Linked DNA regions of Callithrix jacchus. The protein of the gene in region 1 purifies or fractionates together with the protein of each later gene. This does not show direct contact. Links are inferred from orthologs where the notes say so. Each region holds a gene or a part of one and is shown on either strand. Other genes may lie near its edges.

Evidence for each region.
Region 2: the proteins of EIF4A2 (region 1) and EIF4G3 purify together in Homo sapiens (affinity purification with mass spectrometry; 3 studies listed by BioGRID and IntAct, with this or other methods). This does not show direct contact. The link is inferred for Callithrix jacchus from reciprocal best matches to the Homo sapiens genes EIF4A2 and EIF4G3.
Region 3: the proteins of EIF4A2 (region 1) and EIF3H purify together in Homo sapiens (affinity purification with mass spectrometry; 3 studies listed by BioGRID and IntAct, with this or other methods). This does not show direct contact. The link is inferred for Callithrix jacchus from reciprocal best matches to the Homo sapiens genes EIF4A2 and EIF3H.

The regions. Positions count from the first base shown.
Region 1 is NC_133516.1:15,751,067-15,754,821, reverse strand, and holds the start of EIF4A2 (eukaryotic initiation factor 4A-II), read right to left. Parts: upstream 2,405-3,755; 5' UTR 2,370-2,404; coding exon 2,341-2,369; intron 1,553-2,340; coding exon 1,504-1,552; intron 1,417-1,503; coding exon 1,284-1,416; intron 1,176-1,283; exon of another isoform or gene 1,107-1,175; intron 1,006-1,106; coding exon 866-1,005; intron 79-865; coding exon 1-78. UniProt on the Homo sapiens protein: ATP-dependent RNA helicase which is a subunit of the eIF4F complex involved in cap recognition and is required for mRNA binding to ribosome.
Region 2 is NC_133508.1:57,649,413-57,652,304, reverse strand, and holds the end of EIF4G3 (eukaryotic translation initiation factor 4 gamma 3), read left to right. Parts: intron 1-1,349; coding exon 1,350-1,531; 3' UTR 1,532-2,367; downstream 2,368-2,892. UniProt on the Homo sapiens protein: Component of the protein complex eIF4F, which is involved in the recognition of the mRNA cap, ATP-dependent unwinding of 5'-terminal secondary structure and recruitment of mRNA to the ribosome. Functional homolog of EIF4G1.
Region 3 is NC_133517.1:80,682,123-80,685,877, forward strand, and holds the start of EIF3H (eukaryotic translation initiation factor 3 subunit H), read left to right. Parts: upstream 1-1,198; 5' UTR 1,199-1,224; coding exon 1,225-1,356; intron 1,357-3,755.

The DNA.
Region 1 (3,755 bases):
TCGAACATTTGTTCCACCAATGCAGGCATGGCAAGTTGCTCCCATATAGTCTCCAAGTGCCAGAATTACCTTTTGGATCTAAAAACCAAGGCTTAATTATTATCCTGCAGAATTCCAGGGTCAATGACTAATTTTTAAAGCATAATGGCAAATATAATCTGGTCTGCCAACAGCTTTTATGCATGCACAGCACAAATCTACTTCCAAGCTTAAAATGCACACTGACCTAACTGCTTCAATGTAAAATTCCCTTTATGTCTTTCTTGTGCCTTGTCAGACTTGGGATGCTGTTGCCCCACACATCAGCTAGACAATTCAAGAATAACATTTCCTACATTATTCTTCACTGTGTGAACGAAGGAATCCATAGTGAAATATATGTTCTGTAATTACAGCTAGGGCAAATGTTGATTTTTTTCTTCCCCAGAGAGTATTGTGCCCTACATAATCTTGACCTCAATAAAGCCTACAGCTTTATTAGGAAGGTTTACTTCAAAGCCAATATAGCAGTGAGCTTTGAAAACATAGCATGCAACAGATGCATCACAAACTACGGAGACAGTCAAATGGTAACATGTCACTGCAGTTTTCATGTTGCACAACTGCATTCAAACTTAAAAAATGGGGACAGATCTAGTATATCCAGAGAGCTTCCGATTCTCAAGCTATTCATGTACAACCCTACAAACCGTACCTGCATACCCAGTTCTTTTAAAACTTTCAACAAAAACTCCCTGCATGCATGGACAATTAAATGGAGGGATCTGGTAGGACCAATTTATACTAAGTTTTAAATTCTTCACAGTTGTGAAACCTGAAACCTATGCAACACGCAAGCAGTTTTTTTGAACTACACTATCAATACCTGTTGAGCCAGTTCTCTGGTGGGGGCCAATACTAGTGCTTGGGTCTCCTTGAACTCAATCTCCAACTGTTGCAGGATGGAAATAGCAAATGTGGCTGTCTTGCCAGTACCTGACTGAGCTTGAGCAATCACATCATACCCTAAAAAAAGTAGGATACATATTTACCGATCCCACATCAAATTGTCACTTCTACTTCACACCATGTATTCCATTTGGAACATGAATTATGCCCAAATAATCAAGTGATCAGCAATGAGTATTCTCTTCATTTCAGGTCAGTCCCGAAAGATGATTGCCATCATTTCACTTTAAGGAATACAAACAGGTGCTAGTCCCCCAGAGGTTACTTTCCCTTTCATGGTTCAGATCTATGTAGAACAAAAATTCATTTCCTAAAAATATCGAAGTTTCTTTTACCTTTAATACAGGGAATAATAGCTCTCTGCTGAATAGCGGAAGGCTTCTCAAAACCGTAAGCATAGATGCCCCGAAGAAGAGACTCCTTTAAATTCATATCATCAAAGTTATCAACAATCTCATTCCAGTTGCTCTGTAAATTAGAAAAAAATAATGCAGGCATAAATGAGATGAACACACTCACCTTTTCAAAGCTTCAAGATCCAAAACCGTTTCTTACCTCGATGACACCATCGGGGTCCATTCCCTCTGGGCCGCCATGTTCTCTGCTGACAATAACACTGCAGTCAGACAACATCCCTTCCAAGCCTCCTAACTGCATATTAAAGGGATAGCCCTTTGCAACCCGTCTCTGCACGTTACCCTTCCGTGCCCGACCTAAAGCAGCCGCTGCACGGCGAGTATCACACTGTGCGCCTCTCTAAAGGTTGGGGGCTGCAGCCGCCCGTGTAGGCAGCCCCCCAGGCCCGAGCGCACGGCGCTCCCGTTTCGGCGGCGGAGCGTCTCGCGAGAGCTCCGCGCCCTGAGCTCCGCCCCCAACAATGCGCAAGCCGGGTGATTGACGCGGGCGGAGCGGCCTGGCGAGGGCGATGCCAACGGTTCGCCGGCACCAGTGCCGGTCCGGTCCCGTCGCCTCCGCGCGGTGGCCGAATGCAGACCGCTGCCTCCAACCCTTCGCCAACTAAAGCCTAGGACCCTCAAGTCGTGCGGTTGACCACAAGGTTCAGGTCCTAGTTACACTGTACCGAACACGGTCTGCGCCAAGACTTTTTGCTGCTTGTTTGCCGTCCTCTACACTGGGAGAGGAAGCAGCTGAAATTTCCTCATGTCTTAGGGAGGAAAAACGCCCCTTGGCCACTGTTTCCGCACCCTCGTCCTGTCTCCCCACAATCCGGGCCCTACCCATCATGGAAGCTTCTCGAAGGGCACAGGGGTGCTGTACCCCAAGGAAGCGTCCATGAATTTTTAGTTTCTTGTTTCCGTGCCATCCACTATCACCTCCCCTGGCGCCCTATGACCTTCACTACAGACCGCGACCGCCAACAGAGCGCCATACCTGTTATAATCCGCGGAGCCACCAGACATGATCCGATAAACCCACTCAGCTCTCGACTGAAAAGACAGCACCACCGCGCCACCCGTTTTTTATAGGCTCGTGGCCGGAACCCGTTTCTCGCGGAGGAATTTTCTCACCGTTCTGCGGCCAGCCACAAAATTGTGATCCTGGGGTCATTACTTCGGATAAAATCCTAAGCAAGTCGGTAGGAAAATACAAATGTGGCAATTTCTAGATACTCCAGGGTCGCTGGAAATCCTAGGGCCCAGGGTTGGGTTGGGACTCTTTGCCTCGCGGCGGAAGAATATCGCTGCAGCGTTTCTCAAACACCGCGCTCCCCGCCCGCCCAGCTCCTACGGGGTTTCCGCGTCCCTGACGCAGAGGCGGGCCAGAGGAGCCCAGCTGGAGCCGGAGGCGCTGCTTGCTGGGCGACCGGGGCTTCCCGCGGGCGAGGGGTCCCGGTTCTCTGCTGGCTGCCGGCGCTCGGGTGCGGGAGGGGAATTCGGTTATTCCGCTTGCTCCCACCGCTGTTTAATTTGACAATGAAGACCTGCCTGGCGTCTAGCCTGACGTTAACATCCATTCAGCTCTCGGAAACATAAAATTCCTGCTAGGGAAAATGTCGGCCACCCAGCGAGTCCCGGAAAGTCCGGTTTACCGGTACATTTTGCAGCGCGAGGAAAAAAATGGGAGTGTCATTTGCAGATGTCTCTGGAATAGCCAATTCTATTCTCATATCGCTTCTAGTGTTTCGTTCTCTTTTTCTTAAAAAGAAAGCTGATTCTAACCTAACAGGTGTGAAGAATGCCTAAAAGAATCAAACTTTTGCAAATGGATAGAAGCCAAGAAGCAGTAATTTTCCTTGGAACGCACGAATGTTAATGGACGCTTTGGGACTACATTGATTTTGATTCCGTCTGTATTCATCATTTTTTAAAAAGGCTTTGAGTTTTGATTGCCGATATATAGTGAAATGTTGATTTATTGGAATTCAGAGCTATATCCTCGCTGCGTAAACTGCACGGGTCTTTAAGCTCCAGATGTTTTCAATTAGCCCCATCTCAGGTCCCTCGGTAAAAATAAAAAATAACGTATATAGTCATTTAACTTTAAATTACAACCCTACCCATGGTGCAAAATATCATCGAGACTATCGGGAAACATTTTCTTATTGATTCAGAAGGCCGACTTAAAGAATGATTACTAGTTGACTCAGTTTTCTATATTATAGAAGTTACTGGTTCTAAATACTGCTTTTTTAATACAAAGTTATTTATTTGAAAATTCTTATTATGCTAGGAAGTGGGACAAAGATTAAGTATACCAAGATGGCAAAGTGGGCCTAGCCGTCAGTCTAGTGGTGCTGCTCCTCATTCATCCCTGTTATGTTTGAAATCCAGACTTGAAGTGATGCC
Region 2 (2,892 bases), on another chromosome or scaffold:
ATATGGGCCAGGCGCAGTGGCTCACGCCTGTAATCCCAACACTTTGGGAAGCCAAGGCAGATGGATCACCTGAAGTCGGGAGTTCGAGACCAGCCTGGCCAACATGGTGAAACCTCATCTCTACTAAACATATAAAATTAAGCTGGGCACAGTGGCTCACGCCTATAGTCCCAGCTACTGGGGAGGCTGAGGCAGAAGAATCACTAGAACCTAGGAGGCAGAGGTTGCAGTGAGCCAAGATCATACCATTGTACTTAAGCCTGGGCAAAAAGAGCAAAACTCCATCTCAAAAAAAAAGAAAAGGTTAATATGGCTTATGATAAACCTAATATTGATTTACATTTATTGTTTATTCTACTGCCTCCCCCCATTAATATAAATGATCAGAGAGCTGACTATAATAACTAATAAGATAATAACTTATTATTTTGATAACTATAATTCTCGGTTTTACTATGAGAGTAAAACCGAGAATTAAAATAACACAGATAGTTTGGACATTTAAAATGATAAATAACAGGCATAGTTTCACTGGATAAATCCTTTACCCATGTTTTCCATGTGAATGATCACCTCTTCATTTTTAAAACAACATTACAAGGAAGAAAAAGCATATCCTGCCTTTCCACCTGCCCCCCTCCGAATTTGTAAAAAGAATACAGTAAACTTTCAATGCAGAAAATAGTAAAAAGAAAGTAAAAATCTATTCATATTGAAATTTTGTAGTGTTTAGGTTGGGATAAACATCGTATGAAACAGCTTCACAAGTATCAGAAAATAGTTCAAATAGGGCCAGGCACAGTGGCTCATGCCTGTAATCTCAGCACTTGGGGAGGCCAGAGCAGGCGGATCACCTGAGTCAGGAGTTTGAGACCAGCCTGGCCACCATGGTGAAACCCTGTCTCTACTAAAAATATAAAAATTAGCTTAGCATGGTGGCGGGCACCTGTAATCCCAGGTACTTGGGAGGCCAAGGCAGGGAAATTGCTTAAATCCAGGAGGTGGAGGTTGCAGTGAGCCAAGATTGTACCACTGCACTCCAGCCAGGGGACAGAGAAAGATGGTCTCTCAAAAAAAAAAAAAAAAAAGTTAAAATTGAACAAAATAATAGGAATAAAAAATAATTTAGACTGCTTCAGTCTTTTTTCCCTCTTATTTAAACAAGTTGTTGGGCTGTTTCTACTATCAAGAGCAAGTATGATGAATTGCCATTATTGCTTTTTTCTGGAGGAATTAATGTGCATTTATTCAGTCATTCATTATTTTGAAATGATGAGATAGCACTGAGGTACTTTTCCTCATAACTACAGTGTCCCAAAGCTTATAGTTTATTTTCACACTCCTTGCAGATTTGTTGCGGATGTTTTTTGATTGCCTATATGATGAGGAGGTGATCTCTGAGGATGCCTTCTACAAATGGGAGAGCAGTAAGGACCCTGCAGAGCAGAATGGGAAGGGAGTGGCCCTGAAATCTGTCACCGCATTCTTCACGTGGCTGCGGGAAGCGGAAGAGGAGTCTGAAGATAACTAAAACTTCAAATACACAAAACGAAACAAAAGAAACAATTTAAGTATTTTTTTAAAAAGTTTCACGTCTTCGCCAATCACAGTGCAGCAAGGCCAATTCTCGCAGAAACCCCCACATGTGCACGAGTGGGAGAGGGAAAAGAGAAAAAAAGGTGATCATGGAGGAAAAAGGTACTGGAAAAAGTAAACTTCAAACCTTAGGGCGGGAGCACTAAAACCAAAATACATGTATTATTTATAGAAAATATTTTCTGTTTTAATCTTTTCTTTTTAAACAAGGACTCATACTTAAAAAAATGTTTAGCAAAAAAAAAAATGTTGAGAACTTTTAATTTATTTTAAGGACTGCAAATGCCAGTGTAATTTTTTAATTTGCAGTTTCTGTAAACAACTTGTATAATAGAAAAGCAGAGAAATAAATTCCCCTCCCCTTCAGATGCACCTCATGTTTGTTTTAAGGTATAGCATTTAGTTCAGATTTGAGAAAGTTTGGGGTGAACAAGGTAAGAAAGATTTATTTTTGGCATCAAATCTTTCTGCCTGCCTCTCAGCTTGCTTCAGAAAATTAAAAAATCACAATAGTAATCAAAACATACATAACATTGAAACAGAAGGAAATGCTGTGGACCACAGAACTCCAAGAATTGTTTTGAAAAAAAAAAGTGCTACCCTGGTCAAAGTACTCTTAATAATTTTGAAATCTTTAGAGCAACTTTAAGGCTTGTAAATACATAGAACAAATATTTAAAAAAACAAAAAGAAATTGACTCAATACTATTTCTTTTCACTTTGAAAATATAAAGAACAAAATAAAGACAAACATTGCAAGTTTAAAAGAAAGTAAAGTGATTTCTCCTTTGGACAGCTGCTGCATATGTGCCCATTCCTGGTGGTGCTCTCTGGCTATTTATTGTCTAATTCAAATCACTCCTGAGGGGAGAGAGATAAAACGAGAGAGAGTGTGTGTGTGCGCGTGTGCACTTGTGTGTTCATGCACATATATGTATGTATATGTCTCTACTCGCTGAAAAGGCAAGCTACTTTGTGGGTAAGGAGGGCACTTATGCTTGGGTGGGAATGCCCCTCTGGGAGTCCAGTAAAATTTATTTCCAACACTAACTAGAAATGCATTCAGGACAGCAAATCTCAGGGCAGTCATTTAGATAACCAAGTTTTCCACTATATGTATCCCGACTTAGGACACTAATTCACTTTGAGACTGTCACTACCGCTGATTTTAAAATCTTCCATCAATTCCCTGCAATGATTAAGAAACCCAAAGATGTCTGCTAAAGAATGAATAAAACCAAAAGCTATGTTACGCTTTTACAAAAGTGGGGGTGGGATTTAAAATCAAACCAATAC
Region 3 (3,755 bases), on another chromosome or scaffold:
CCTCCAGTCTAGTTCTTTTTTTTTTCACCTGGGTGCAGGTGGGCTAAGGTCGAAAAGGGTGTTAGCCTCCAGTCTAGTTCTTCCATGAGAAATTTTCTTTTTTTTTTTTTTCTTTTTGTGACCTTTCTATTACCAATTTCTAGTGTAATTCTACCAGGATTAACCTTCAACACCTCTAAATTTGTGGACTGTCTCTGTGACCTAGGATGTGGTCTATTTTGATAAATATTTCATATATACTTAAAATGAATGGATATTAACTTTCCATTTTGTGGTGTTGAGAATTTGTAACATATAACTATTTCTTCTCCCAGACTGAAATATAACACCAGATCCCAACGATAAAAACAACAAAACACTTCAAGGCAGGATATGCCGTTTATTGATTTAACTATTTGCCAGTTCTGTGTATATCTTGATTGAATTAATAAGCATTTAAAAAATAAGGGATAGGAAAGAAGTCATTAGGAAGTAGAAAAGAATGTTTTAAATTGCTTATCTAAAAAGGCTCTTACAGTTGGCACATATTCTTTTAAAGACTTGAGATGTGTATTTCAGAATAATGTGTCATAAATCAGCGTGATTTTTAGAAAATGTTCTGTATCAACCTTCAACAATACCTAAAATAACTTCTTTGATACTTATGTAAATATCTACATGAAACTAATAGCAAAAGGCTACTATTTCTGGTAATTCTGGAAAAAGTTTCCATATCTTAATTAATTTCTGTATAATCTAAGTGTTTATACAGGTAGCTATCTAAAATTACGTAAAACAAGCTATGCAATATTGGCTCACCGCTAACAGAATAGTGTCGGGTAAACCACTTCTCAATTTTCTAATATGCACAATGCGAGCTAGTACAGCACTTCATTGCAAAATCAGAAATGAAAGCGTTTTTACGAAAGACACGCTACAAAAATAATGCGAACTGTAACGCTATTATGACCGTTCGCCTAATGGTGAATGATTAAACATTTAAAAACTTTACTTTCATCTTAGATCACTCCATTGGAGAGAGGCAGAAAATGTACGGTAGGCACGCACAAAGGCTACCACCTGGAAAGACGATAAAACTAGAAGAGAGGAGGGAGGCGGGGCCCAATTTTGGCTTCTCCTTCCAGCTCCGCCCGTCGAACGCTAGTCTGCCAGTGACGTCACGCGAGACTTGTACTTCCGCTTCCGGTAACTCATGTTTCTCTTTCTTCCTGTCTGCCTAGAAAGATGGCGTCCCGCAAGGAAGGTACCGGCTCTTCTGCCACCTCTTCCAGTTCCACCGCCGGCGCAGCAGGGAAAGGCAAAGGCAAAGGCGGCTCTGGAGATTCAGCCGTGAAGCAAGTGCAGATAGATGGCCTTGTGAGTGCTGTTTGGTATTCTCTGGCCCACGTGGGGAGCGCAGTTCCCAGCCCCGTCCCGCCCCGCCAGCCGTACTTTCCAGCATTCTGCCCCCGGACTTGGTGTGGCTGGGCCAAAGTTTTTCCCTAGTACCTTTCTCTTTCATCTTCACTTTTTTTCAGAAGACGCGACAACCTTCTCTTATCTTCTATCGGGACAGTTGTGGCTTCAGGAAGGGGGACTGAGAATAGGGTGTGAGTGACAAGTTCCTGGGGTCTTGTTTTGAGTTGCCTGGAGTGGGGATTAGGAGAAAGACTCCTGGAGACAAGCAGCTAACGAAGGTGTCGAGAAGGATTTAGGGACTTAGCAGGGCTCTGGGAAGGAAAGAGTAAGGAAACTCCACTGCTTCCCTGCTGGGATCTGACATCTATAACTTCCCAAATGGAGATGTACTTTGTAGCCACTCTCTTGAGCCTGTACTTCGGCGCTTTAAATGAAACCGCATAATTAGAATGGACTCTTTTGTAGTGTTTATTCAGAAAAACATAAAGTAATATCAAAGAGAAGGACCTAAAATGTATTTAGTAGTTAAGGTTCGTGAACTAGGACATCTAAGGAAATTCTTGATAAGGGAATGGACTTAGCTGGGAAAAGGATAACCTAGAATGAGAAATTTTATTTCTGTTGTTTCGAAGCAAAATACATTTGTATGACATTCTCGTTTTAAAAACATCTTTCCTGCCTCTCTTTTTAAAAAGCATCTTCTCTCTCTTTGATTTTTTTAAAGGTTATTTCCCATTAATGCAGATCTTAGATACTTGCAATAAGGAAGTATTTTAAAATTCATGTGAATATTTTAATTGCACCGTGCTATTTTTAAGTGGAAACTATTCATAATTTAAATCCAGCATATAATTGAATCTGTTGAACTGACTTAGTTAAACTGGATACAAAAGTGTAGCCTAGTGGTTAGGAGCTCATTTAGTCTTCTAGGGTCTTCCACTTAACCAGCTCTGTGACCTTGGGCAAGTTAACCTTTCCAAGCTTTGCTTTTCTCATCTGTCAAGTGGGAATGAGAAGGGTTTATGTCATAGAGTTGTTTGGGTTAAATAAAAAATTTATGTGGTGACCTCTAGCACAGAGTAATCAATGTTACGATTATTAAGAGTTTAACGTCTATGGTTAGCAGAGCTTGAAAGATGCAGGTGAGAGATTAACTTTGGAATGTTTTGCTCTAAGTGTCACTTGTGTAATACGTTGAAAATGCAGTACTATCTGGTCTGTGTACTGGCACTCTGGCTTTCCCTGGCTCATGGGAAGCAGATGTTTGTTCAGGAACAAATGATGTGTCTTTAGAGATTACAAATCTCTAAAGCTGGTGGGTGGACTTAGATTACACTTGTTAAAATAAGTACCACTTACACACTTGGGAAATGTTTATTCCTTAGGAGCACATTTCTTATTAAATTTGTTATGTCACAACAGCACTCTTTGAGTCACTTAGTTTTCAGAGTTGAAAAAGGCAAAAGGTCGGTGGCATTAAATCTATTTGGAGGTCATTTATTCAGTAAATATTTTAGGACATTCTTCTAAGTGCCAAATATTGTCTAACAGGGCAGTGATAAAAGCACATCAGTAACAATTTCCTGGCAACTTTAAGAGGGATTGTTAAAAAGAGACCTGCAGGTGGAGATGGACTGGATCACTTCAAGTTTCACAAGTAGACAGTGGGCTTAGGAAGGTCAAGAGAGTGGTTCTCAATTTCGTGGATTCACAAATTACTGTTTTTTTTATCAGCTCTCTCACAATTGATTAATGCCAAGGAACCCGTTAATCCTGCTCACAGGGGATTGGTTTGTACATGTGAATGTTGATTTACTCATTTACTGTGGAAGATAAACCTTTACAGTGGTGAAAATGCTTATATGTACCACCAAAAGGACCATTTCTGATTACCGAAGCACCTTTGAAATCGGCTAAAAAATCAAGTGACTGGGTGCAGTGGCTCATGCCTGTAATCCCAGCATTTTGGGAGGCCGAGGTGGGCGGATCACGAGATCAAGAGATTGAGACCATTCTGGCCAACATGTTGAAACCCTGTCTCTACTAAAAATACAAAAATTAACTAGGTGTGGTGGCACATGCCTGTAGTCCCAGCTAATTGGGAGGCTGAGGCAGGAGAATTTCTTGAACCCAGGAGGCGGAGGTTGCAGTGAGCCAAGATTGCACCATTGCTCAAAAACAAAAAAAAGATCAAAAGCTTATCAGTGACTCCAAAGTCAATCATGATAAGAGCAGGTAAAGGATTATTTTACTTGAGAATTATTTATATGCAGATTCTTGATGAACTTAGTGAAAGATCTCTTATTGCAGAGTTGCAGTAGTGGGTAACTCTGCTTTTTTTCTCCACCGGTTAGGTA